4 linked regions of the Astyanax mexicanus genome follow. The protein of the gene in region 4 interacts with the protein of the main gene of each other region in a pairwise test. Links are inferred from orthologs where the notes say so. Each region holds a gene or a part of one and is shown on either strand. Other genes may lie near its edges.

The links.
Region 1: the proteins of glrx3 (region 4) and moxd1 interact in binary tests that used the Homo sapiens proteins (3 or more experiments, as listed by UniProt). The link is inferred for Astyanax mexicanus from reciprocal best matches to the Homo sapiens genes GLRX3 and MOXD1.
Region 2: the proteins of glrx3 (region 4) and trim36 interact in binary tests that used the Homo sapiens proteins (3 or more experiments, as listed by UniProt). The two-hybrid records come from large-scale screens. The link is inferred for Astyanax mexicanus from reciprocal best matches to the Homo sapiens genes GLRX3 and TRIM36.
Region 3: the proteins of glrx3 (region 4) and ca9 interact in binary tests that used the Homo sapiens proteins (3 or more experiments, as listed by UniProt). The two-hybrid records come from large-scale screens. The link is inferred for Astyanax mexicanus from reciprocal best matches to the Homo sapiens genes GLRX3 and CA9.

Annotation. Positions count from the first base shown.
Region 1 is NC_064408.1:48,943,877-48,951,464, reverse strand, and holds the start of moxd1 (DBH-like monooxygenase protein 1 homolog), read right to left. Parts: upstream 3,009-7,588; 5' UTR 2,823-3,008; coding exon 2,475-2,822; intron 1-2,474.
Region 2 is NC_064419.1:37,293,413-37,300,433, forward strand, and holds the start of trim36 (E3 ubiquitin-protein ligase TRIM36), read left to right. Parts: upstream 1-3,999; 5' UTR 4,000-4,347; coding exon 4,348-4,410; intron 4,411-7,021. UniProt on the Homo sapiens protein: E3 ubiquitin-protein ligase which mediates ubiquitination and subsequent proteasomal degradation of target proteins. Involved in chromosome segregation and cell cycle regulation. May play a role in the acrosome reaction and fertilization.
Region 3 is NC_064427.1:25,814,009-25,821,547, forward strand, and holds the start of ca9 (carbonic anhydrase 14), read right to left. Parts: upstream 3,013-7,539; 5' UTR 2,663-3,012; coding exon 2,536-2,662; intron 1-2,535. UniProt on the Homo sapiens protein: Catalyzes the interconversion between carbon dioxide and water and the dissociated ions of carbonic acid (i.e. bicarbonate and hydrogen ions).
Region 4 is NC_064422.1:12,525,818-12,533,455, reverse strand, and holds the start of glrx3 (glutaredoxin 3), read left to right. Parts: upstream 1-4,621; 5' UTR 4,622-4,684; coding exon 4,685-4,749; intron 4,750-7,117; coding exon 7,118-7,226; intron 7,227-7,638. Other genes in the region: uncharacterized protein si:ch211-221j21.3, read right to left, coding at 1-63, 1,453-1,614, 3,275-3,355. UniProt on the Homo sapiens protein: Together with BOLA2, acts as a cytosolic iron-sulfur (Fe-S) cluster assembly factor that facilitates [2Fe-2S] cluster insertion into a subset of cytosolic proteins.

The sequences.
Region 1 (7,588 bases), on a different chromosome or scaffold from region 4:
CTGTTAAATTCCAGGGTTTATTATGTCCCATGAAGCTTGTGTTAGTGCAAGCAGTGCAAAAATATATTAACCCAAGTAACCACAATGAAGAAGCAAGGACTGCCTCCACAACTCATTTTGAATATTGATTTCCTATTAAAATAAAAAATATATACACTGCCTGGTCAAAAAAGTCTCCAATTGGATTTAAGTAAGTAAATGATGTGGGGTTGATGCTACAGGTGGTCAGGTTTAGGTTTGGCAACAGAACGTGCTGAAAGAATGAGGTCAGCTGACTACCTGAATATACTGAATATAGATCAGGTTATTCCATTAATGGATTTTTTCTTCCCTGATGATACAAGAATATTCCAAGATAACAATGTCAGGATTCATGGGGCTGAAATTGTGAAAGAGTTCAGGATTCGGGGAGCATGAGATCATCATTTTCACACATGGATTGAGAGTTCACCACAGAGTCCAGATCTTAACCTCATTGAGAATCTTTGGGATGTGCTGGAGAAGACTTTGTGCAGTGGTCAGACTCTACCATCATCAATGCTGCTGCAAGATCTTGGTGAAAAATTAATGCAACACTGGATTGAAATAAATCTTGTGATGTTGCAGAAGCTTACTGAAACAATGCCACAGTGACTGCGTGCTGCAATCAAAGCTAAAGGCGATCCAACAAAATATTATAGTGTGACCTTTTTTTTTGGGGGGTGGTGACTTTTTTTTTTTCCAGGCAGTGTAGTATATATTTAGTGTAGGCAGTGTATGACTTACATTTCAGTCCAGAAAACACCTGACACAATAATTACACTATACTTTACTATATGGCCATAACCTTCATTAACTTCATAAACTTACTGAGTTTAATAAAAGTGAGAATTTGTAATTGCACTGAGCATCCTAAAAAATACTTTTAAAACATGCAGTGTGGTGCAGTCTCTTTTCAGAGTGGACGAATCTGGTGATTTTAGGACTCTGTAGGTCTCTGATCTCAGCTCTCTTCAGTTCTAATTCTGCATTTTTTTGGTTTAAGGATGTGTAAATGGACAGATAAAGACTGAGTTTGCATGTCTGATTTATGTGTTCACAGTAAGTCTTGTATCAGCACCATTGGCAGCACCATGGTTGCTCAGGAAACCAGTAAATGCTCTTATACCCAGAAAAATGTCCCGGAATCTACCAGACACCCTAAATTTAAGAATGAATATACACTATTGCTCAAAGATTTTTAGTTGCCTATATGCAGTGCTGTATGATGATCCACTAAAGCTGCTTTTTAATTTTCTAATCTTCTCAACTTTATTACTGCACTTTACCTTTCAGACCTATAATTCTTCTCTTCAATGCTGAAACTGAGACTTAGTCCAGTGTTAAGCTTAGCTAAAGGTGTTGTTGCCATGTGGGTCAGCCAGACCTGATGCTTCCTGTACCAGTTTTCTTTAAGAGTTTCCAGGAGTTTTTTGAAGATGTAGGCAATAGTACTCTCTGGCTTCATCTGTACTTTCGTAAAACAGCAGAGTCATTCTCAATAGTTAATAGTAGTTATTTGTTTTATTTTTTTCTGTGTATTTTTACACTATTTAACATTACTGCTTTTTAATTAAAAAGAAAAAAATATTAAGGATTGAGAGAACCCAATTCCATAAATGAGCTTGTGAAGTCGGTTTAAAACTTATTTATATATTACTGCTATGGTTATCACTACTAATTCACTTTAAATATAAATAGCTCTGAAAAAACTCAGTTTATGAATCAGTTTCTCTTTTTTTTCTTTTTTTTTTTTTTACTATGTATAGGTATATTTTTGAGTAAAAATGAACATTGTTGTTTTATTCTATAAACTACTGACAACATTTCTCCGATATTCCAAATAAAAGTATTGTCATTTAGAGCATTTATTTGCAGAAAATGAAAAATGTCTGAAATAAAAAAGATGCAGAGCTTTCAGTCCTCAAATAATACAAAGAAAACAAGTTCATATTCATAAAGTTTCAAGAGTTCAGAAATCAACATTTGGTGGTGCAATAACCCTGGTTTTAATCACAGTTTTCATGCATATTGTCATGTTCTCCTTCACCAGTTTTACACACTGCTTTTGGATAACTTTATGCCACTCCTGTTGCATTTTTAAGTGCTCTCTTTTTCCAGAACTGTATATCTTATTGGATTAATTTGCCTATACACAAGAGTTAGTATCCTTTTGTATAGTATGGTATTTTTATTGTTGCTATGTTGCACCGTTTAATATTACTGTAAAGTGATTATCTGAGCCTCACCCCAAGCATTTTAATGATTGTGTGTCCTGACATGATGTGCAAATGACATAAATTTGAAACTAACAATTTTACTGTGCAGTATGGTGCACACTCTATTTGAAACTTTACCAGAGTTGAGTATCTACAAAATTTTCATTAAAAAAACTAAGCAACTGTGCCCCTGCAGTAAGACAGTAAGTGGTCAGTAAGACAGTATAGTGAACTTACATGGAGGTAAGGTATCCCGTTGGCAACACCTCCTATCACAAGATCAGCTGAAGCCATGGCGCCGTTTGGAGAGAAGCCAAGCCCCATGTAGCCCCTCGTTGCTGCCTCAACTTCAAACGTGATGCTGGTCTCATCAAAGCTCCACTTCAGCGCGTATCTCCCCCCGGCGTCCAGCGCGGCGGAGTGCTGGAACCCGCTGCTGTCTCGAGACCTCTCCGCGCTCAGCAGCGTCGCGTGCAGCAGCAGCAGCAGCGCGCGGGGCAGCCCGGTCTCGCGCATGTTATTATGGGAAGTTCGTGGTTGTGTCCGGGCTGAAAGCGAGAGGAGTCCGAGGCGCTCTGGCCACATGAAGCCGCGCGTGTAGCCCGCACGAGCGCATCGGAGGAGACTGCTGTCCCCTCGCGCGCGCAGCCACGGAAAAACAGCACTTCCTCCTCGGCGGTAGAGCTGTTGTGACTTGCGCGTTTGATGCCTTTGATGTTGAGCCGCGTGTCTCGCCCTCGCGCTGCTTTGGTCTACTCTGCTGTTTACCGCCGCGCGCTTCACCTTCTGCTTTGATGTTTGGCGCGAACGACCCTATCAGCACGCGCCTCGAATCTCCAGTGTTTTGAAGTTCAAATTTAAACTGAACCTGCGCTCAGCGACCGTTAACGACCGTTAAACCACAAACACTATACATTTACCTCAGTTTAAACAGTACAGTGTACATTATTCCCTCAGTGTTAAATCAACACTGATAGTGCTACGTTAAAACTATAAGGGGAAGTTTCCCAGACAGGGGTTAAATCAAGTGCCGCACCATATTTGATTTTTAGTGGACAATATCCAATCAAAATGCTTTGTAGTCCAAATTTAGGCTTAATTCCTGTCTGAGAAACTTCCACTCAGTTTTAATTTAACTCTAACAGTGTTGATTAGCACTGGCTGGTAAATTTACTGTATAGGCTCTTTGTTTCAGTGTAACGGACAGGGATAAACCTAGTCATAGACTGTATTTTTCTTTCAAAGAAAAATCTCCAGTTACAGTGCTGTTACAAAGTCCAAGGCTAGACTTAATCCCTGTCTGAGAAACTGTTGGGAAACTTTATAGAGTAATGAAAGTTTTAAAGTGATGGAAAAGTTATGTTGTAGTGACCGAATATAAATGTTTGCATTTTAAGGTTCTGTTGAATTAATGTAACCAATTTTATGCTGTAGATATGCTTAATATATACTTAAACTTAATCTAAAGCCCTATCTCGGGATTAGTTTCTCAGGGGGTCCTGAGATAATTTTCTCTTTAACAGGGGGGTTCTCTGTGATTTTATTCTCGTCCGGAACAACCGTGCATGTGTTTTTTGTTTTAGACGTCCTCTAAGAAGGCTGAATTACCTACAGTTTTTCACTGAACTTCATGGTCCTCTGGTCGTCATCTCGCGTTTAATAAAATAGCTATTGTCTACTGCCATGTATCGTAATTACACTTAGATGACAGCATGTAGTAAAGTTCAATAGTCTGCTCACTAAACTGCATTGTGAAACCAAAACTAACCGGACCAATTGTACACAATGTAACAGATGGTGCAGACTCCAGTCATGTGTGAAAACATCTTAAAAAAATTTGAGTAATAAAAGGATTCTAGTGCCTCACTATTATTTATATGTTCTGCTGGACTAATTTAACCAGTTTCAGCATTATGAACTTAGTCTAGATAGATAGATAGATAGATAGATAGATAGATAGATAGATAGATAGATAGATAGATAGATAGATAGATAGATAGATAGATAGATAGATAGATAGATAGATAGATAGATAGATAGATAGATAGATAGATAGATAGATAGATAGATAGATAGATAGATACTTTATTGATCCCGAGGGGAAATTCTAGTCTAAACATTTTAGAGTGAAGGATTCTAGTGCCCCAGTATAAAAGTTTACATTGCATTCTGCTGGACTATTTTGACCAATTTTCACTTTCTGAACTGTCAAAAGGATTATTGTGGTTTGTTTTAAGCTTAGTTTAAAGCTTGTTATACAGTTGAATGGATTAATATTTAAACAACTGAATGGGACTGATACATACAAAATTGTTGCTCATATTTTAGTGGACCTAGTGGATCGAGTTAAACTTGTTTGAATTAAATTAAACGTAAATAAATAAAACATGAATGGGTCTGAGAGACCTGTAAATGTCGTGCTTTGGATCTAGTGGTCTAGTTTAACTAGTTAAACATTTTTGGGCAGTTTTCCAGACAGTGAATGAGTGAGGTATATAGGTTATAGTGGACCAGTGTAAGTGTAAATTTAACTTTTCATTGATTAGATAAACTTAATTAGAAAATCTTTTTTTTTTTTTGGATTAACTATTTAACTATTAGTTTGTATTTTTTAATGTCTGTATGCCATTAAGATAATCAAGATACAAACAATGGCATTCTAAGTAGTTTGGCGTGAAATTCTCTATTCTAGGAAAAATACCGGGTCAAACGTACTCTCAGTGATGGTGATAGGAAGCAGATGTCAGAAGCATTTATTGGCTATAAGCTACATCACAGCAATTAACTTAAAAGGTTATAAATGTGTTTTGCTCCCTTCATAGTTTTATGATTATTCTGAGAATAACTAAATTGTATTTTTAACATTCAAGAGGACTACATGCAGAGAAAAACAATACTAAAAGAACATGTGTTTCCAGATTAACCACAAAATTACCATCATACTCTTAAATGTTTTTCAGTTCACTCTAACCCACCCAGTTTAACTTTTTATTTTTAAGTCAAAAACACTCATTAACAGCAGCAAATATAACCCATTCAGATTGATGCAAAACTCGGCATGTAGTCTCAGACTGGTATGTAAATGATTTCAGGTGTGGTCTGATTAGGTACTGGCCACAAAAGAGTGTAAAGTTGCTTCCTTCGCTGCCTTATAAAACAATTGTGCAGTTTACCTCTTGGTGGGAGATGCCTCTACGAAGCAGTCGACTTTAAGAGCAGACACATTACTAAACCGAGAAAATAAGTATAAAGACCTTAGAAAACTTTGAGGATGCAGGATCTACAGGCACAGCTGCAAAATCTGTGGGCAACTGTGCTGCAGGATACCATAAAGAAACCTATTTGTCGTCATGCCCAACAGTATCTCATATTGTATCCAGGCTAGAGGCATCCACCAGGGTACTAGAGCCATCTTTCAATTTTACAGTTTTCTAGGGTTGAAATGATTCCTCAAGTAATTCGAGTTACTTGATTTAAAAAAAAAAAATTGATCGATTAATTTTCTGTGTCTTGAGGAGTCATTTAATTATTTTTAAAATGCAGAGCACGGAATTTAGCGTGGACTTTTAATGTGAAACAGAGCGCTTAGCTTTACGTTACCCACGCACAGGAAGCAGGTAAATTTAACTTATAACAAATCAATGAGATTAACATTAATGTACCTTACTAATATAACGACAGCGCTGTGGAGTGCTGATTATTGTTAGTTTATTACAACGGAGACACATTCTAGACTTAACACTGGCTTTATGTTAACAGTAAACAAGAGATCTGCGCGGGACTGCTTTTTTTACCCGGTCCCATGTGTTTTTGTCCCGTTACCGCCCGCTAATTATTATAATTTTCTTAGCGATTTAATAATTTGCGGGAGCGGGACCACATGTTAACGTGGTCCTGCTCCCGCTTTGCCTGGATTGATTAAACTCCCGCTCCCGCCAATAACAATTCAGTTCTCTAGCGCGCCGCAACATATTCTGACGCGGGAGTGCAAACCCATCTTTTCAACACAACTTCTCTATAAGCATCGACTCTCTCTCTCTCACCGACAAAGGTTGCTAGGAACCTGGGTGTTATGATTGATGACCAGCTCTCCTTCACGCACCATGTGGCCTCAGTTGCTCGATTCTGCCGCTTTGTGCTTTATAACATCAGAAAAATTAGACCGTTTCTGATGCAACAGGCCACCCAACTCCTGGTACAAGCAGTCGTCATCTCACGCCTCGACTACTGCAATGCCCTGCTAACTGGCCTCCCGGCCTGTGCAGTAAAACCACTCCAAATTATGCAGAACGCAGCAGCACGTCTGATCTTCAACCAACCAAAATGGGCACATGTCACTTCGCTGCTCATTGAGCTCCATTTGCTACCAGATGCTCGTATCAAATTCAAAGCTCTTACAATCGCCTACAAGGTGATGACAGAACAGGCTCCTTCCTACCTGCAATCACTCCTGAAGGCTTACGCTACCTCCCGGCCGCTGCACTCCTCCAATGAACGTCGCCTCGCTTTGCCAAACATTCACACAAAGCAATCCAGACTGTTCTCATACAGAGTTCCCCAATGGTGGAACAAACTACCTTCCACTACCAGATCAGGAGAATCTCTCGCTATCTTCAAGAAACTCCTGAAGACAGAGCTCTTCAAAGAGCACTTACTCTCTTAACACCTCTAACACACTAACTACTTCTTACCTCATTTCCTTCTTCCCCTCCTTCAGTCCTCTATCCCCTCATTTCCCTTCGACCTCCTTTAAGCCCTATCTAAAAATGTTTTACCTTTAACTTCTATTACTTTTGTACTTGACTATTGTAAGTCACTTTGGACAAAAGCGTCTGCCAAATGTAATGTAATGTAATGTAATGTAATGTAATGGGAGTGCAGACCTCTAAACAAAGGTGGGCTCTTCGACAAAAAAAAAGAAAAAAGGTCAGTAGTACTCTTTCATGTTTCACTACACCCCAAAACCATTTTACCCCAGATTTCAAACAAAAAAAGTTACACAAAACTAAGATAGAGTGTATAAGTGTAGCTGAGGTGTGTGAATAAGACAATACTTTTGGCTGGTATACTTACAAACTAAATTCAAAATATGTTAGGTGGAGTTTCACTTACTGTAAACATAAGGTGGAGCATTTTAAATGTTACTGACGCTAATCTGGTGGAAATCTCACTCGTCAGGTTGAATATTAGTCATGTTAGGACATGTCTTGCTTTCGGGCAGTGAGTAGGTTGTTTACGCTTGATGCTTGCATACTTTCAGATCAACACATGATGACTTGCTTGTAGATACTGTATGTTCTGTCACTTTAATATTGGACTTAAGAAGCCCTGCGCTAGCCCTTCCAGTGGTG
Region 2 (7,021 bases), on a different chromosome or scaffold from region 4:
AGATTTGCAAATCGTTGCATTCATTTTACACAGCATCTCAACTGTTGTGGTGCTTAACAATGCTGCTTTTTGTTTTAATATTACTTTGAAAATGGTAGAAACTCTTAAGAAATTATTGGCTGCAACTTTTAACCGGAATTACGCACAGGCTAATGAAGTAATTATACCTCTAAACCTGATAAATCTCTTTTTTTTTGTTGACAAATCATTTTATGCTTCCATTCTGTTCTAAGTAAACCTATGGGAAACTCAATTTTCATAGAAAGTAGTGTGCTATAGCCTGCACGTTTTCTGCCAGACAAACTGTAAGAATCATTTACTTCTCAGTCACGACACAGACGTGCAAAGGTTAATGGCTTGATGCTCACCTCCACCGGCACTGCTGTTACTCAGCAGAACGCTCACATTGACACAATAGATAGCAGCAATCTAAAATTAGTTTGCCTTTAGATCAATTCAAGGAAGATAACCACTTCCTCCTACTCTGCAGGAGCGGAGCCGGAACACAGCATAGAACTTCCCTTAAGATTCATTAGTATAGAACATGTGTGAACATACTGCTGTTACTGTAAATACACACAGTAAAATCCACTGAGACTTGCATGACTATACTGTAAAATGTACTTTTTAGACTGTGCTATTGTTCTGTTTGAAGCTGCAGGTGATAGCTAGGTTCCTCAGTACAGATGTCAGAGTAATTATGAACCATGAGATACAACAGTTTAAACACTCTTAAAAAAAAAAAAAAAGATTCTTGTTGCTGGTAACAGTCTGGATGGTTCTTGTCATTTTTGGTCTTGCACACATTGCATCTGTTTCATAAAAACATTCTAGAATTCTCACTCACCTGACTACAATACACAGTGTGAAGGTCTATCCCAGATGCCTCAGAGCTCAGTGAAGCTGACACTGTTTCTGGACATGGTTAACATTTTAAATGTATCTGTAGAGTAGTAGCAAACTATCAGCTATTTTTGATTTTTTTTCGGTTCTTGATGCAGTGCTGTCTGAGGAATCGGAGAGCTTAAGTATTGAGCTTACCCTTGCTCTTTATGCACTTACTTGTGCGTCTCAAAAAATGTAATTATCATTGAAAAGTTACTTTATTTCAATAATTCAGTAAAAAATGTAAAAGAGATATATTTAAGGCTATTTCTTTTATTGTTGTTGATTATTGGCTTACAGCCAATGAAAACCCAAAAATCAGTGTCTCAGAAAATGTGAATATTGTATAAGACCATCTGGTACTTTTGGCAGTGTGGGCAGTGTGCCAAGTCCTGCTGGAAAATGAAATCTGCATCTCCATAAAAGCTGTCAGCAGAGGGAAGCATAAAGTGCTGTAAGATTTTCTGACTTTGGACTTGATTTAACACAGCGGACCAACACTAGCAGATGACATGTCTCTCCAAACCATCACTGATCATCAGTAAATGTTGCATTTTATTTAAAATGTTTGGAGAGAGACACACAGTTCAAACTGCTTGAGGTCTAGTGTGAAGTTTCCACAATCAGTGATAGTTTGGAGAGTCATGTTATCTGCTGGTGTTGATCCTCTGTGTTCTATCAAGTCCACTTATTTGATATAAAATGATTTAGTGTTTTTTTTTTCCTCATTACTACTCTGATTGTCCTCAACAACCAGATGTTTCAGGCCTGCAATGCAAGAATTGTTGTAATTAAATAAACATTAAATTAAGATAAAATTTAGAACACAAAATATGAAAAGTCTTGGGTTCATTCTCTCTGCAAGTCAAATTAAATGCTCATGTGCAACATGTTCTAGTTTGTATTTGCATTTCCTAAACTGTCTCAAACTTTTCTGAGTTAATTTGGGGTTGTAGGAGTGTGAAGAATGTTTAAATTGGTACTTTCTTTCTAAAGTGCACTTTCTTCAAGAGACTTTTAAAGGCTTACAGAGACTTTAAGCTTTTAAAAGGTTTTTGCACACAAACAAACACACATACACTGACGCGCACACACGTCTATTACAATCATGGTTTTCTTAATGGACCCAAAAGATTCATTGCTCTATTGGGTCCTATTTTAGCAATCTATACACAAGCTGTCAACAATGCACCATTTGCTATAGTTTGCGGGGTGTAAGATAGCAGTGAGCATCGCGAAGCATCTTGCGCAGGGTGCCCATAGATTCTGACAAAATTTTACTACAAAGGACATCATTTTTATGTTTTCATTTTAAAATGATTAGATTATAGATCAAATTCACATTTTCTCTTATCAGGGATAGGGATAATATCTCTTTTATAAAGCTTTATGTAGATATGTCTGTTGGTAAATATATATATATATATATATATATATATATATATATATATAAACTTGAACTTAAAGTAGACCTGCACTGCTAAAATAACCTTTTGTGGCACTTAAACTGTCTGTTTTTACTTATTCAAAATTCCATCTGGGCTTCTAATAGAATAATAGTGTCAGCGAGGTAAACTGATATAGGCTAAAAAAAATGGAATATTATATATCAATATATCAAGATATCATAGCTGTATATCTTTTATCCAATAAATACTACTTTTGTCTTTGTTTTTTGTGGGTTGCCTGTTATGTGTTTTATTCTGCAAAGTCAGAATCCCAAAGGTATGAGTAAGGAGATGTGTTGGCACATTTGGGCACTATGCAAATGAAGGCAATGTGTGTTTTCTGTTTTTTTTCCAGATGAAATTTAGATTGAACTGAACATAGATTGCCCCAGGCACTGAACAGAAATAGCATCACATGATTCATTAGTCTTTCTCTGTGGCACAATTCTAATTTTCTCTCTACTGGGTCGTGTCAGTAATGCATAAATTTCCCCATGGCATGCAGGTCTTTGTTGGATTTTATTGGTTGCCAAATGCTTGACCTAATTGCATTATTTGGCTCTGAACAAACATTTATTCCAACATAATCTGCACCTGCTTTCACACTGTGACCTGATAACCAGCCTAAATTTACCGCTGTTATTCACACAAGGATAAAAATGAGGAAATGAGAGTTTTGCACAAATCTTGTAATTGGATGCAGTGTTGTAGTTCATTTGACTATAGTCCTGGGAACAAGCATGACTGATTTAAATGATGCCACCACATTCTGTATATGAGGAGTACTACATATTATACATGTTGATGTTACTTTATTTCAGTAATTCAGTTCAAAAGGTGAAACTCATAAATACAGCTCTAAAAAATATTAAGAGACCACTTCATCAGTTTTTTTTTTATTTTGCTATTTATAGGTGTATATATATATATTTGAGTAAAATAAAACATTGTTGTTTTATTCTATTAACTATGGACAACATTTCTCCCAAATTCCAAATGCAAAAAATACCGTAATTTAGAGCATTTGTTTACAGAAATTGAAAAATGGCTGAAATAACAAAAAGATGCAGAGCTTAAATAATTCAAAGTTTTAAGAGTTCAAAAATCAATATTTGGTGGAATAACCCTCGTTTTTAAGTGGTCTCTTATTTTTTTCAGAGCTGTTTATACAAGACCATTCAATTCAATTCAGTTCACGCCTCTTATGAGCAGATAGATAGATAGATAGATAGATACTTTATTGATCCCCGGGGGGAAATTCTTGAAAGCAGCACCACAGAGATGCCAATTCAGTTATTGTGGTGACAACAGTGGCAAGGAAAACCTCCCTTACGTTAAGAGGAAGGAACCAAGACAAACATCACTGGCGTTTTCTTTGTAAATGAACAGAAATAGTGAAAATCACAAGAAATACTATAAATAGTCTTATTAAATCGCACGTTGTTTAAGCGGGACAGTGCAGAAAACATATCATTGTCATTATATGAGTCCAGAATCCACTATAGCGTCTGATTTTCCACTAAATTCACTAATTCTTTCTTGGCTCTATATGTGTGTAGGTGTGTACTTGTAGGACTGTTGCTGAGCACTCGCACAGACCAGCACGGACTGCCTGCCTGACTGCACACAAAGAGCTCCTACGACACTGGAGCTCACGCCCATAGACTGACAGTGGTGGGCGGGGTCTCGAGCCTCAGAGATCATGCTCACACTTTGATTCACATCTTCATCTCCCTCCATCGATCTGCCATCAAAGCGCGCGCTCCGGACACAGCCCGGTTCACTGGGGGCGATGCTGACATGGGACCATAAATCACCCCCCGGACTGTGAAGCGGGAGGCGGTCCGCCGATCTGCCGGAGCGGGAGTGCGCGAGCTCGACTGGCTGGCTGTCAGGACCGCCAGGTCCTCCTCCTCCTGGAGCTGCTGAAGTCATTCATCATTGCTACTGCTGTCTTATTCTTCTGTTAATAAACATCGTCTGAGTGAAGATTCCCCCGCGCGCGCGCGTGAAGATGTCTGATTCAGAGGAGCTCACGGAGTTCGGGAGCATTGTGGAGCGCATAGAGAAGGGAGAGGTAAGTGAGCAGACATGGAGTCCAGCTTCAGCAGCTTTTCTCCCCAGAAACCTGTCGAGGAGTCTGTCTGTGGCTGGAAACAGACGGTAACAGGCGAGCTGCTGCTGCGGCTGCTGCTGTACAGTGAAGCCCATGACTGATCATACTGATACTGATTTATTTATTACAGCTGCTGAACTCTGTTTACTGTACTGAATGAGCTTAAGCAGGAAAAATCTAAAAATAGGACACTTATAAAAAAATAATTTTGGATGTTACCTGATGTAAAAAAATGATGTACAGATATACTAATCATAGGCTTATAATGAATTGTGCAGTGGACAAATGTATAAGCAGTTTAATCCTGTAGAATAACTTATTTTACAATAAAATATAACCTGAAATGAAGTGTATTGTAAGTGTAAGTGAATGAATTTTCACAGATTGTCTGAACATGCCATTTTAATAAGAGCCACTTGGTGGCATGAGATGAAATAAAATAATAGCAGCCTGTAACACTGCTATTACTACTACTACTACTGCTAATAATAATAATACATATAATATTAAGATTGATTTATAAAGAATTTTCCATACATATAGGCCTGTCATGATAAATAATTACATTATCGCTTATTGTACAATAAATGGACATGACCTCAATAATATTTAATAATCATGATATCGTCTATTGTGTTTACTTGTATATTTGTTCACATGTATAGATGTAACATTATTAGTGAACAGTATTAGTTATAGCCAGTCATGCAATGATCAATGACCAATGCTTCAATAACTGTGACTTCATACACACAGTGTGGACTGCAGTAAGTGAAAAAAATATATATAGTGTATAGGTTTCCCAAACCAGTATTCATTAAAATATTGTTGTCTTTTAAAGAGTATACTTTCTTTGATATGCTATGAAATTCTATTGTGATTATATTAGAATAATCTATTGGTCTTAAAATGACTAAACTATCATTTATCGCAATCATTTCTGGGAAGATATATTGTCCACAAAAGTATAAAGAACACTAAACAATGCATCCCAATTGCATATTACATACTAAAACGATATGATGTGTGTACTATATACTGATCTTAAATGTGTGGATTTGAAATGTTAGTACACAAAATATTAACTTTGGGTGTGTCCCAGTTGCGTACTAGGTGGCATGAGAAGAATCAAAAATATGTAAATATTTTAGTGATTATAAGCATTATTTATGTAGTACCTTCTAAATATTACAGTGTAGCACAAAGTGCTTTACAATACATAGTAAAAACAGAAATAAAAAGTACTCAATAGCATAATATTATATCGCTGAAAAAAAGCAATAACAGGAAAATATGTTTTAAAACATGCATAAGGAAATAAAGAAACCAGTTCCACATTCCATTTGTGAACTTAACAGTAGTACTTTAGGTATACACGATACTCTAATCTAAGGCTATGTCTGAACTGCAGGAAATGCTGACTTGGTTCCTTACTTCCCACGCTCTCCCGCTTAGAAGGCAGTGTCATGATGGTCATGATCTGTGATCGTATCAAAAGGGAACCATATGTCCTGACATTGCCAGGGTATGAAAGCTCGCTGCTAGATGTGAGAGCTGAGCTGCACTGTCAGTAGCATTATATATTAGCATTTTCACCAAATAGATGAGATTACTGACCTTCGATTCAATCAGATCCACACAGCTTTAATACTGCAATTTTGGCAGGTTAGTCCAGAAAAATATTAACATAAGGTGTTTCCAAAAGTACGTACAAATTACTAATACTAATATTAATAATATTCTAATATTCCTGATGTCTGAAACACATTAGAAAAAATAAGATAAAGATACAATGAACACTACTGGAAAACTTGCATTTGGCATATCAAAGGTTTATCATTTCCTGTATGAAAAGGGATTAGTATCAAAGGTTTATCATTTCCTGTATAAAAGGGATTAGTATGTTAATATTGTGTGTACTAATCTGTCAATCCCACACTAGAAATGTTAGTATGCAGGTCATGTCTGAATTGCAAGAAATGCTGCCTATTCAGGCAAGATTCTGAAGCAGTCTTGCCTAAATCGAAGATCAGTAATTTGTCTTCTGTTTTACTGGTACAAATTCTGACAGCTAATGGCAACACAGCTAATCGCATTTGGTTATATTTGTTGAGCAGCATGGTCTTGCTGGTCATGCTGGTCAGACAGCTGGGTCGTTCTGGTTATCTAGCTTGGTCATGCTTGTAGACCAGCTAAACCACCAAACTTAAACAAAAAGCTTGAGCTGCTCATTTTTTTTTTCTGTGAGAAAACTGACATAAATGTACATTAATTAAAGTATAATCGGACAGAAATAAATAAATAAATTGATTAAATATCTGTTTATGTCCATATATTTATTAATTCGTATTTATGTATTTTTAATACGTTTTTTGGTTATTAATTTAACATGCTGATAATATGTTTTCGTCCAAATATTTATTAATATGTATTTATGTATTTTAAACATTTTTTTAGTAAACAATTTAACGTGTTGATAATCTCTCCTTTTTGTCCAAATATTAATTAATATGTATTTAAAAAAATAAATTTAAATAATTATTAATTTAACGTGCTAATAATCTCTTTTTTT
Region 3 (7,539 bases), on a different chromosome or scaffold from region 4:
CATTTGTTGCACCAGGAGTAACGGCATAAAGTTATCCAAAAGCAGTGTGTAAGACTGGTGGAGGAGAACATGCCAAGATGCATGAAAACTGTGATTAAAAACAAAATATTGATTTCTGAAGTCTTAAAAGTTTATGAATATGTTTATGAACTTGTTTTATTTGCATTATTTGAGGTCTGAAAGCTCTACATCTTTTTTGTTATTTCAGCTATTTCTCATTTCTGCAAATAAATGCTCAAAATGACTATATGTTTATTTGAAATTTGGGAGAAATGTTGTCCGTAGTTTATAGAATCAAAAACAATGTTCATTTTACTCAAACATATACCTATAAATAGCAAAATCAGAGAAACTGATTCAGAAACTGAAGTGCTCTCATAATCTGTATATATAGAAAGGTGTGTGTGTTTGTGTATTTAAAAAGAAGAAGTTGGAATGAAATGAAATGTCCTTTTATGGCTCCACAGACCTGCTCTCCCTGCTGGATTAACAAGCTTAAGTTTAAGAGCAGAAACAGTAAAAGTGGTGTCAGGTCAGAGTGAAATGCATGACTCTTCATGTCCTCTCGGAGTTACTGAGAGATCTATAGTGTGTGTGTTTTTACTGTGTGATTCTCTGATGCCTCATGCAGAGCAGCCGCTCAGCCTGACACATCACCCTGTACCTCCAGAGCAGCACGTACACCACATTCCCACCAGCCAAACCCCACCACCAGCAGCAGCAGCAGCAGCAGAAGCCTCTGGCATCACCAGCTGTGTTTCCAGGATAAGCCGGGGGAGCGCTGCTCATTCATTCAGCAGGAATCTGAATAACGGACTGAACACCAACAGCTTTTCCACACTGTTCTGTACTGAACACGTGGGTGTACAGTTATATGTAATATCTGTACTCTATAACCACTGTCTGTAATGTGTTTTATAGTTATTGCAGTGTTTAGTGTACCTATGATTTATATTATGATATGTATTATATTAGATTTTAGCATTAAAGCTGTGTACATGTATAAGTATGTATGTATATGTAAATTTAACATTGTATTTACCAAATATGTAAAAATATATTTTCCACTTGTCTATTCAGTGTATTCAAGTTTAATATAATGTCTTTAATTCTAAAACTAGACATAACTAAACATATATACTGTGCATCATAAATGTATATTCAGCACTGTAAAAAAATTAAGAGAGCACTTTAGTTTCTGAATCAGTTTCTCTGGTTTTGCTATTTATAGGTTTATGTTTGAGTAAAATGAACATTATTGTTATATTCTATAAACTACAAACATCATTTCTCCCAAATTCAAAATATGGTCATTTAGAGCATTTATTTGCAGAAAATGCAGAGCTTTCAGACCTCAAATGATGCAAATAAAACAAGCTCATATTCATAAAGTTTTAAGAGTTCAGAAATCAAAATTTGGTGGAATAACCATGGATTTAAATCACAGTTTTCATGCATCTTGGCATGTTCTCCTCCACCAGTCTTACACACTGCTTTTGGATAACTTTTTGCCCCTCCTGGTAAAAATGTAAACAGTTCAGTTTGGTTTGATGGCTTGTGATCATCCATCTTCCTCTTTATTTTATTCCAGAGGTTTTCAATTCGGTAAAAACAAGAGAGCTGTATATTTCTAGAGCTGTATATTCTACTTTAACACTTTGGTTGACTACATAATTCCACATGCGTTCCTTCATAGGTTTGATGTCTCCAATATGAAACTACTAAGTATAAAAAAATACATATGAATAAGAAACATTAAATGTGAAGGTGGTTTTAAACTTTTTAAAAGAAAATAAATTTTGTAGCATTTCTATTGGTCCATCTATTTTCTCTCAAAATGTGATGGACAACTTTTGAGTTCAAATGATAAAGTAAATTGAATAATGTCAAAAATGGAAATAGATGTTTTTCCCTAGACAGTAACACACACACACACACACACACACACACACACACACACACACACATAAATGTACTATATAGAAGCTATACTGCTGACCTCTTTTTATCTGTACTGAACAAGTTTACATGTAGATGACTATGCCAACAGTAACGTCATATTCTCCCTGTAAAACCCTCTGCAGGAATACTGATTCAGAGAAGAAATGACCACAGAAGAATGAGGAACAGCTCATCATTTTCTCACAGTTTCACAGCTCAACGTGCCTGTCCTCAGAACACAAAGGGAGCAAAAACCAAGACATCATGAAAACCCCCATCAGTGTCACACTAAATTAACTGGAATGACTATAAAAGCTCAGAGAAACTGAAACTGGGTGCCTATTTCTGACTGATCACTATAAATTTCACTACTGCAAATGAGAAGAGTCAATGAGAGAGTTAAAGCTTCATTATCCAAATCTCAGACATCCCTGCAAAACTTATAAAGTGCTCAATAAACAAAAATGAACTATTTAAACTAAAATAAATACCAAAATAAAGTTCTGATACCTAACATAAACTTTTCAAGATATTTTAGGTCCACCTAAATCAGCACTGACAAAGATAGAAACATGTTTAGCTGAGCCTACTCACTTTTCTCGTGCTCATCATCATCATGCTCACTGCTGCCATCTTCCTCAGAGGAAGAGGAGTGAGTTTCTCCAGCCAGCACCTGATCCTGGACGAGGAGGAGGAGGAGGATGAAGAGTTTTAGTAGCATGATGATGATGATTCCTGCTGAAGTCTGTCTCCTCTTAGCAGCCAGTAACAGTCCCGCACAGGTGCTCACACACACACTCACTATCTTACACACTTTTATATACACACACACAAAGCCTCACCTCCATTCAATCACAGGGGGAGGGACATTTAAAAGGACCACCCTGAAGAAAAGAACCAATCAGCAGCCAGGAGCTATCTGATCGCTATGTGCCCAGTGTTCCTTTATTCTCTCTCCTTACAGCTCCCTCTCTCTTTCTCTATCTGCTTCACTCTATCTTATATATATCTTATATATCTCTCTACATCTATTTCTCTCTCTTTCATTCTCTCTGGTGCTCTCTCTCTTTTTTTCTTTCCTCTCTCTCCCTCTCTCAATCTCTTTCTCTCTGTCTCACTCTTACTCCTCTCTCTCTCTCTCTCTTTCTCGCTTGCTCTCTCTGTCTGTACCTCTCTCTCCCTCACTCTTTCTCTCTTTCTCCTCCCCATCTCTTTCTCTCTCCTTCTCTTTTCTTCTCTCTCTGTCTCTCACTGTCATGCTCCCTTCCTCTCTCTTCCTACCTTTCCTTTTGACTTAACCTCTCTTTCTCTCTCTCTCTCACTTTTTCTCCTCTCTCTCGCTCTCTTCTTCTCTCTCGCTTGCTCTCATTGTCTTTCCCTCTCTCTTTCTCACTCTTGCTCTCTCTTCTTCCCGTCCATCTCTCCCTCTCTCACTTTATCCTTCCTTCTCTCTATCTCTTTCTCTCTCTGTCATGTCCTTCCTCAACCTCCCCCACTTTTCCTTCCTTCTTACTTTACTTCTCTCTCTCTCTCTCTCACTCTTTCTCCCCTCTCCCTCTCTCTCCCCATCGCTCTCTCTCTTTCTCTCTCACTCTCGCTCTCTCTCCTCTCTCTGTCTCTCACTCACTCACTCTCTCCTTCTTTCTCCCTGACTCTCTTTCTCTCTCTCTTCCTCTTTCTTTCCGTCTCTCTAGCTCTCTCTGTCATGCTCCCTTCCTCTCCCCCCACCTTTTCTTCCTTCTTACTTTACCCCTCTCTCTCTCTCTCTCTCTCTCTCTCTCTCTCTCTCTCTCTCTCTTTCTCTCTTTTGCTCTCTCCTTTTCTCAGTCTCCCTTTCTCACTCTTTCTCCTCTCTTTAACTCTGTCTTCATCTATCTCTGTCTCTCTCTCTTACTTTCTCTCTCTCTCTTTGTCTTCATCCCCCCTCTCTCTAGACCTGCACTCCTGTAGAGGCTGAATGAGAACTAATCTAATCTCTTAGTCTCTCAGCATTCTGCAACACTCATACACACATACACACACACACACACAGTCCTGAACGAAGTCCAGTGGCATGGCTGCAGCAGTATGTTTATGTTAACATAAACACTGGAACACAATAAGGGGCATAATCAGTGTGTAAGAGACACTTTCAGATATAAAAAACTAAGATTTAGAACAGTAGTAGTAGTAGTAGTAGTAGTAGTAGTAGTAGTAATATTGCTTCACCACAGTTTAATCTCACATAATAGTAAAATGAAGAAGTAAAAAATAAAATGCATTGTTTTTATATCTATAGATTGTATTTCATTTCTAGTCTTTAAAACAGATACAGACAAAGCCAATAGGACTGGAGCTTCCTCATTGGCAGAGGCTGTTTTATTTATAGAGGAGCTCTACAGCTGTCAAGATCAGGTCACTGGGGATCAAGGTCAACATCAGCGTACTTACCACTCACATTCACACTGGATCAGAGATTATTATTATCAGTGACTTTTTTCATTTTATAGGTTCCCCTGAGAAGAGTGAGCCCCTTTCCCTCCACATCAGTGGATCCTCCCGGTGGGGTTAAATCAGGCATCATCTCTCAACTGCACCCGTTTGGACCCTAAACTTCTTACAGAAAGGAACAAGAGATAAGTACACACAAATACACTCCCGCTCTAATGTCCCCTTTTTAATGTTATTATCTAGAGATTTTTTTTGCAGAAAATGAGAAATAGCTGCAATAACAAAAAGATGCAGAGCTTTCAGACCTCAAATAATGCAAAGAAAACAAGTTCATATTCATATTCAAGTTTTAAGAGTTCAGAAATCAATATTTGATGGAATAACCCTGTTTTTTAATTACAGTTTTCATGCATCTTGGCATGTTCTTCTCCACTAGTCTTACACACTGCTTTTAGATAACTTTATGGCACTCCTGGTGCAATATTCAGGCAGTTCAGCTTGGTTTGATGGCTTGTGATCATAAATGAATTCTTGATTATCATTCCAAAGGTAATTCATCATTAAGTGGTCTCTTACCCGAGCTGTATGTGCATACCATTTAAACCAACATTTTCAAGTAATTTTTAACCATTTTTCTTCTATAATGGGACTGTGAGTGATCCAGCAGACTAAGATGCTGCCTCTATAATCCGAGGATCGCCAGTTTGAATTCTGTATCATGCTGCTTTTCAGCTGCCATCAGCAGCCGGAGTCTGAGAGAGCACCATTGGCCTTGCTCTCTCTGGGTTTGTAGATGGCGCTCTCTCCACGCGTCTGATTTCACATGTGTAGGAGGAGGCATGTGCTGATTCTCACCCTTCTGGTATTGGGGACATTGCCCGTGATACTGGGACACCCAAGTAGGTGGGTGGGGTAATTCACCTTCCAAACCGGCGAGAAAATGAGAGAAAATTATAAATCAATGAATAAAAAACCTGTTTTAAAAAATAATTTGGTTATATTTAATATTGTAAAAAATCTAATAGAAGAGTCTCCCTCATACATTTAGTTCATCATGTTAGTTAGAATATTTTTTGTATCTGTTCTTGTGGTTCTTTAAAGTAAACAGGTAAATTTTGTTTGCTCCTTGACCCTGAATATAATACGCTATGTTCACTAAAACAGATCAGACAATAGACTGGTCAGTCAGATTGTGATTGGACTATTGTATTTAAATTTCTGTTGCAGTTATAGCTGTTTTCTTTTGTCCATTCATTCTGTAACAGTTAACACACAATACTAATCACAGGCTTTCTGATCAAATACACTTTTTTTTCTTTTTTTCTTTTTTTTTGCAAAATCCTGAAACCCTCACAAAGCATTATATAAACATAAACACACACATACGCAGACACACTCACACACACACACACACTCACACACACTATTATCAAACAGCACAGCCTGCAGTCACTGTGTTGGTGAACCGTATGAAGGTATGCAGGCAGTGGGTCCACTGGAAAAGTTATGATTATGATTTTTATATCAACGTCTATTCAATGTTTAGATTTTTGCAAGATATTTTACAGTGGCTGGAATTGAAGATTTACTGTCTTACATTACTTCCATTAACAATTTAGAATTTTACACTCTACACATACACACTATTTCCATTATGATTTATCCATTGACCTCTATTCAAACTGAATTTTTTTGTCTACCTCTAAAAGTTTTTTCCCCTGTAAAATTCTAGTTTTGTAGAAATAAGGTTATCAATGATTTGCTATGCTATAACTCTAAAACAGTATAGAACTACATAAAAATGTTTTGGGGAAAAAAATACTCAAAAACGTACCTTCAGATCTTTCAGATTTAGTCACGTTGTTCAAACACTATTAAAAAATAACTGGAAATGTTATTAAAAATCTAAATCTAATCCAATTTAAAATCCAGACAAATCCTTCAGGTTCAAGTTTAATTATTTAATCAGGCCTCACTGTTCGTATATGAAAAAGATCCAGATGTTATTAAGTTTCAGTCATTTGACCTTTTTTAACAGTTCGTCGTGTTTTTTTTAAAACACGCTCCTAATGCAGCTCCTTCAGAATACCACATCACAATACCCCTACTCCCCCCCCCACACACACTCGTTCCTGGAAGAGTGAGAGAGAGGGAACATCAACATCACGTCTGTTACAGAAACTCAGATTTTTTTCATTAAAAAGGTCAGAGCAAGAGCATTCCACACACACACACATGACACATGTGCAGTTTGATACTTGATATTTAAGAATGCCTTGATTATGATGATCACCTTTTTAAAACCAAAAACAAAAAAAATCACAGCCTAATTAACAAATGCAGTCATGTGATCGTGTATGAAATTAAGATCTCATTAACACACAATTAAAATGGTTTAATGCGTGCTGTTGTGAAGGACTTATGGACTTCCATTATGAAAGCTTACTATTGATTAATCATACTATTGACTGTGTAAATTCAGTCCTGACAAGACATGTACCTAAAACTTTAAATTTAGTAGATTTTTTTCTTATGTTTGATATGCACTCATGTAATGTGATTTTATTTCTGGTGATATGATCTTTTAAAAATTGGTGAGGGAAATTTTAATTTAGTGACATTGAATCGAATCGCCTTTATTGTCATTATAATTTGCATTACAATGAAATTGGATTTGCTTCTCCAAAATGCCTTTGTTGTATAAATTAAACAGAAAAATAATTTAAGTTAAAAGCAACAAATATAAAATAGACAGAAATTAAATGTAATAAAAACAAGATATACACTGTACAATCTATCCACAAAATATTGCACTTCAAATATATTGCACACGTTATATTACTCCTGGGGTTTAAAATTGTACGTTTTTGTTTGCCATTGTTTTTTATTGTTCAGTGCAGTGATGGCTCTTGGGAAAAAACTGTCCCTGAGCCTACTTGTCCGAATTTTATGTGACCTGTAGCGCCGGCCTGAGGGTAGCAGGTCAAACAAATAGTTGCTGGGGTGGGATGTATCCTTGGTGATACTGTCAGCTCTGCTAATGTAATGAGAGGTGGCAATATCCTCAAGGCTGGGCAGGGAACAGCCAGTGATCCTTTGGGCCGTGCTGATCACCCTCTGCAGCGCCCTTTTGTCTGCTGCTGAGCACCCCCCGTACCATGCCGTGAT
Region 4 (7,638 bases):
CGGTTCTCCTGCCAGGCATCGGGGGCAGCACTGCGGACCGCCGCCATTCTGAGCTTCCAGCACCTGTTTAAAATAAATAAAGAAATAAATCTATTAAAATATGATCATTCTACTAGTTAAAACTTATGTCTGTAAGTTTTGTGATTTAGGAGATTTAGCGCCTCTCTGGTGAGAACGGGTAATTGCACTGAATATGCAGAAGAATCATTTTAAACTGGGTGGGTGTGATGCGGTCTCCTTTTCAGAGCGGATGAATGAATCCGATTCCAGGTTGTGTTCAGACAGAGAGAGAGAGAGAGAGCTCAGTCAGAAACTTCACTCCTTCGTTTCTTTGGTTTTACTATGAGTGAATGAGCTACTAAGCTCTGAGTTTCCTCTTCTGAAGTCTCCATTGCTCCACCAGCCGCTCACGTTCATTAAAACTGAACCGGATCCTCTTTTAGAGGCTGTACGTGTGACGTACTGTAAGTACGTAAAGACGCATGACGTGGCCAGAAGAAAAACTCCTGCGAAAAGCAACCCAACGCCCCAGTTTTTAGAATGAATATATTATAAGGCCTAGCAGGGATGGTCGTTCCAGCAGAAGGGTACCATTAAACACTATATTTTTTCCATATTCTTCTCCACTCAGAAATGCTTAACTGTTAAATTATTGCCAGAAAATTCTATTTATCTTATGACCAATTATTTATAAACATAAACTAAATAAACATGTTGCTTATATAAGGTTGCATCACATTTCATTTATTCAGAATGTATTTCTCAGAGCAGTAAAACCATGTTATTTTGTTTTGTTAGTTTTGTGTTCCTGGTTAAAGATGACTGACATACATTGGCTGGCCAAAAAGTACAAAAAAAAAAAAAAAAAGAAAAAGTTTACACACTGCTTAAAATAATATTTCGTTGAACAAAAAATGGCTGTTGATTGGCTTAAAATAAGTGACTGACATCAAAAGCGGTTGTGTGATTGGCTTCAGTATAAAATGATTAACACGTCCTAAACTCTTTGCTTATGCCCACTGGTTCTCCCACTGGCCTGCACTAGCAGAATTCTGTCCTTTGGTGTTCAGACAATGCAACTGCATGATTGCATAGTGACAGAGCGTGGAATTATCTGTTCTTGTGATGCACATTGTGTTTCTTTTCCATTGTGATGCATTGTTGAACCTCTATTAGACATTAAGTAGTAACTATAAACTGATAATAGCAGGTCTTTTTACAATGCTTTTTCAGGGCAATCTATTTTATAATATTTAATTTTGCTGTGTATATTTGAAAAATAAAAAAGTTGATTTCTCTGAGCTATGACCAGATTATTTCTTTCTTTATTTCTTACCATATGCAACTCTTATCCTCTGAGTGCACTTTGAGCCCGTGACTCATAATTGCTCGAGTGCACTCTGACCAGTGAAAACAGGCAGTAAGGAAATAAGCCAAGGTCAAGAACCCTACCTTATGGTGGTGGTGGTTGTTGTTGTTGTTGATGATGGTGGTGGTGGTGGTGTCCTTCAGATGGCTGACCTGCTGGATCTCCCATGTGTCCATTGGGCTCTCGGTCAGGGCTCCATATTCAGCCTGGACACAGCTTTCCAGTCCATTGCACACTCTTTTAGTCTGACAAATACAGACAGAGGAGACAACCTTGTGTTTTTTATCATATATCTTCATCAGATGACCTCTAAAAGCAGAGTGCACTGTGGGGCATGAACCAGCATTTCCTACGGGTGTGACATCGTATGCAATAATATTGCCAACATTTTTTAATATGGTGATTATTGATATTATACCCTGAAACATGGTGCCATTTCACCAATTCCTAATTATCACATCAGGGTTCTACTTTTTCCCCCATTATATATCTACTAGAGACAGATTATATCTGTCCAGTATCATTTATTCTACTTTAATCCTGGATATATGGAGATATTTGGAGTGCATTATTATCAGTATCATGACTGATCATTCTGGATCATTGACTTCTGTTAGAAATCTGATACAATTCTTGTATTTTTTTTTTTTTTATATCTCTGTTAGGGGTGTGCCATATCATATTGGATGCAAAAAAAAAAATAATAATAATACAAAAAATGTGTTGCAGTAGTGTATTCTTTAAATATTTCTTTTGTAATTCAGTGTTTTGTCATATAATAGCTAGTTATCTGAGCATGGGAAAATTAACCAGAATAAATTACCTTTCATTATATTCTATTCTATTCCAAGTAAAGCTAGGCAATATGTAAAAAAAAATAGCTAACAATATTTTAACACATTTTCTTAAAAGATCTGCAATAATATGCAGCTCTGTAAAAAAGTAAGAGACCACTTAAAAATGATGAGTTTCTTTGATTGTGGAATATAATCAAGAGGAAGATGGATGATCACAAGTCATCAAACCACCAAACTGAACTGCTTGATTTTTTTTTCACCAGGAGTAAATCAGCATAAAGTTATCTAAAAGCAGTTTGTAAGTCTGGAGTAGGAGAAAATGATGCCAAGATACATGAAAACTGTGATTAACAAACAGGGTTATTCCACCAAATATTGATTTCTGAACTCTTAATACTTTATGAATATGAACTTGTTTTTTCTTTGCATTATTTGAGGACTGAAAGCTCTGCACCTTTTTGTTGTTTCAGCCATTTCTCCATTTCTGCTAAAATAAATGCTTTAAATTACTATATTTTTGTATTTGGAATTTGGAAGAAATGTTGTCTGTAGTTTATAGAATAAAACAACAATGTTAATTTTACTCAAACATAAACCTATAAATAGCAAAATCAGAGAAACTGATTCAGAAACTCAAGCGGTCTGTTTTGAGAGATATAACAAGAAATAAGGCAGAGTGAGGTAGTGGTCCACAGTTAACACTCAAACCTAACTACTTCTAAACCTGGGAAAAATAATTGCAGCCAAGCCAAGTGTGGAAAAAACCTTTCTTCAACTTATTTAGGAGAGATTTATTTATCTGTCAAATATAGACAGAGGAGATACCCTTGTGTTTTTCATCAAATAACCATATAATCTTCATCAGATGACCTCTAAAAGCTGAGTGTACTGTGTGGCATTAACCAGCATAACCCCTATAATTTATTTCTGCTAATAATAGCTTTGTCAGAGGGCCACACTACCATGAAGGGCAGTGCAGGAGCTAGGTTAGTTATGTGAGCAGAGGGGGGAAATGAACCAGAATAAATGACCTTTAAGTGCATTACAGGTTAATGATATCTGCAATGCTTTTAAACGTGAATAATGGATTAAAATAGATGTTATTTACCGGATTGAAGCCCCAATCTTCTGGATCTCCTTCTCGGCCTCTCTTGTTCTGCAGTAGTGCACTCATATAATCCATAGACATGATGATGAAGGGGGATCTTTATTCCTTTATCTATCCTAAACTAGTCCATGAACTATAAAAAGAGGTAAAAACTTCCAATATCCTCTAATACAGACCCGAAAAACGAGCAAACATAAAGAAAACCCCGGTAAAACAACGTGTCAGACCACTAATCCAGCTAATTACATGAATTAAAGCTCTTAACGTTCACCTATTCCCTCTATAGCTTTATTTAAAAAGGCAAAGCATATAATTACATAAACACTTTAAATAATCACTAAAAACATAAAAACAACGTGTCCCGCCTCCAACCTACGCTTTCCTCTGCTGTGTGTAACAGTTACTTCCCCCTGTTCAATTTTTCCTGGTCTGCACGTATCATAAGACAGACGGCTGTGTTAACCAATAGGGTGTAAGCATATGCCCTCGAAGGCGGGCCTATCACAAATGATTTTTTTTTATTGGCTGCAATGACTTTTAGCGCGAAAACGCGACCTATCAGCTTTAAAGTCACTTGCCGGTGTTTTATTTTTACTTATATAAATATATAATTATATAATTAGAATCAGTAAATAAATAGAATAGAATAGATACAATAGAATAAAAAAATATATAATAATAATATAGAACAAAATATAATTTACTGATTACAGTGATGAAACATTAATACACTATAAAAGAACAGTAATAAAGTCATTGCAAAGATGAGAAAAAATAAATAAATAAATAAAACAGTTTATCTCGGTCATGCAGCACTGCTACTGGACTAATGAACAATAGCGTATTACTGTTCTAAATCTTTTGACTGGTAGTATATTTAAATATCAATTAACCTTGCAACACTTTTGCACACACCAACGGCTTAAATAAATAGTAAATAGCAAAATAAATGTAATCTCAGTATTTGTTATTTGTTATTTAAATTATATTATTACATTTATTATGTAGTACCTCATATATTTATTTAAATATATATTATTTTTACTTATTTCCTCTGAATATATATACAGCTCTGAAAAAAATATAATAAGAGACCACTTAATTATGTTTTTGCATTATTTGAGGTCCGAATGAGCGGCATCTTTTAGTTGTTATTTCAGTCATTTTAAATGTTGTCTGTAGTTCTGTAGTTTATAGAATAAAACAACAATGTTGATTTTACTGAAACATAAACCTATAAATAGCAAAATCAGAGAAACTGATTCAGAAACTGAAGTGCTCTCTTATTTGTTTTTTTTTTACATAAACGATTTAACTCTCGACACTGCACACAATCCGCGGTTTGATTAGTAATGCCTTCACGGAAGGAAAACACTGGGAATCGATGAGCGGATACTTTTGTCTGTGATCATGGCGAACCTGACGGACGCAGCGACGCCGAAGCAGTTTGAGGAGCTGCTAAAAAATGCCGGCAGGTAAATAAAATACCTCCCTGCGGGTTAAATTCAGCCCGGACACAGCGCGGAACACGTTCAACCGCTTAACCAGTGGGTAAATAGCATAAATAACCCGGTCTGAGAGCGAAACGGTAGACGGTAACGGAGCTAAAGTGAAGTTAGCCGTTAGCCTTTAGCATTTAGCTCCGTTCAAAACAGCTGCAGCAGCAGCAGCATGTGAGCTTAGCTGTGATAGCTTCAATATTTAATTATGTATACTCTTATAATCCTTTACTATTAATGATGTATTACTGAATACAGTTAATGTACGGGTGTAGTAGTTTAACTGAGGGGTTTTAAGAGCATAACAGTCATGAAAAAAGGAGTTTTAAAACGAATGTAATGGTAAGAATCGTTGGTCTATAAATTCTATGGTCTCATCTAAACTATCTGACAGGATAAATACATTAAAAATGCAGCTGGAGCTGTTCTGCAGGTAATTAGAAAGAACCAGCAAAAGGAAAACTGAAAGTGAAGCTTTGGAAGATATATATATATATATATATATATATATATATATATATATATATATATACATACATACATATACATATAACTCTGGAAACAAAAACTAAGAAAACACTTCAGTGTCCTAATAATTTCTGATTTTGCTGTTTATATATATGTGCTTAAGTAAAATGAACATTGTCGTTTTATTCTATAAACAACTATGAACAACATTTCTCCCAAATTCCAAAAAAAATATTGTCATTTAGAGCATTTATTTGCAGAAAATGAGAAATGCCTCAAAAAAAAAAAAAAAAAAAAACATGCAGAGCTGTCAGATCTCAAAATAATGCAACAAAAATGCAGAGTTCATATTCCTAAAGTTAAAGCTAAAGCTAAAGAGTTCAGAAATCAATATTTGGTGGAATAACCCTGCATAACATTATGCCACGCCTGGTGCAAAAATCAGGCAGTTCAGTTTGATTTGAAGGCTTGTGATCATCCGTCTTCCTCTTGATTATATTCCAGAGATTGTCAATTTGATAAAATCAAAGAAGCTATTATTTCTTTTTTCAGAGCTGTGTTTGATTTAGACAATAATCATATATTTCCTTTGCAAACAGCCAATAAACTTCAAGAACACATAGTGATGTTCAAACATCTGGGGTTGGTGGATAATCCATAATCTGTCAGTGGCTGGTGTATATATATATCAGTGTGTTTGTAGTACAGTTTTGGATTGATGATCGTTACACATCACAGCTGCTCTCTCTGTATTGTGATTGGGCTACTGATTATCTGTCTATCTTTTTATCTTTTATCTATTTAAATATCTAAATAGCTGGATAAACAGTCTTTTATACAGCCTCAGTCTTTAGTGGAGAATCTCTATTGGAATCGACACACTTGGTCTTGAGGTCAGTGCCAAGTATCAGCAAGGGGTGTAAATAATAAAGTGTGAACAGTAGGCCTGGGTTGTCTGCAGTGATGGAATGGAAGCAGTAAAATGGTGCAAACTCCCTGTTGATACATTTGACTTCAGAAGAAACCAATGAGCAGTTCTCTACACACTTTTAATGCATTAAATACAATGCATTAAAGAACTATTAAGGATTATATTATCTGTAATAATCTGTGCGTGCCCACAGCCATTCCCCAGTCCCATTTCCACACCCCGGGCTTCCAGGTATAGAACACAACAACTGAACTTTAGTAAGGTCCTCTAACCAAGATAACAGAGTTATATAAAATTCCATGATTTGTTTATTATGTGAAAATAATAAAATCATTGCAAGCATATACATATTGCTGATCAGCACACAGAGTATGAGTTGTCACTTTCCAGAGACCCAGTAGGGCCAGTGGTTTGGTGGTTCTTGGTCTGGGTCATGGGAATCCTATACCATATATCATATGCACTACTGTGTTTTCCATTATTTTACAAACTTTACTTACTTAACTACATTGATATTATGGGTCTAGACCCAGCTGACATTAGATTTAATAAAAATGAAAAGACTAGGGATGCACTGAAATGAAAATTTTGGTTAAAACCACAAACAAAATTCCTTGAAATTCCTTTTTTGCCGTCTAGTCAGAAAAAATCTGTGCATCCATTAAAAATTCATACAATAATATATTGATACAGTGCCCTCCTCCAGCAATTTTAGAAATTATCTTAAGTTTTAACTATACTGCTTATAGATATTTTATTATTTGGTCACCAGAACAGAACACTTGCGGTGACATAACTAACGCATGATTGTGAAAGTGTTGCTTATGGTGGTTATTTAACACATCAGTACTAAACCCCTTACTTCAGTTTTCAGGATCATGAATAATAATTTAAATTTAGGATTGTCTCAATGTTTTTTTTTTTTTTTTTCTTCTTTTCTCCCAGGTCTCTCACAGTTGTCCATTTCCACGCACCATGGGCTCCACAATGCTCTCAGATGAACGATGTGATGAAGGAGTTAGCCAAGGAGCACAAACAGACCATGTTTGTCATGGTGGGTTATTGAGTATATGTAATTTAAGCTGAATTAATTACTTTGAATATAAAAGAGATTGCTTAACTGACTGTTAATGTAATTTATCAGTGCTTTATCAGTGGCAAACTCCACCATTATCTCTATTTAGTAAGAGGAACTTTGTTTCTGTTGGAATCAGAGTCAGTAAAACAGTTTTGAGGATATCTGAATCAATTATAATCAAAAATCTTATTTTTTTAGGCCATAATCGCCCAGCACTACATCAAAATGAGTCAATATTATTTAATACATCTTGTTTTTAACTAACATCACAAATTCTCACACAGGTGTATACACACACATACACATACATATACACACTGTTCCAGACCCACACCCTCCACATTCTACGCAACCTCTGTAATAGTTAGTGGACCACAGAGACTTTACA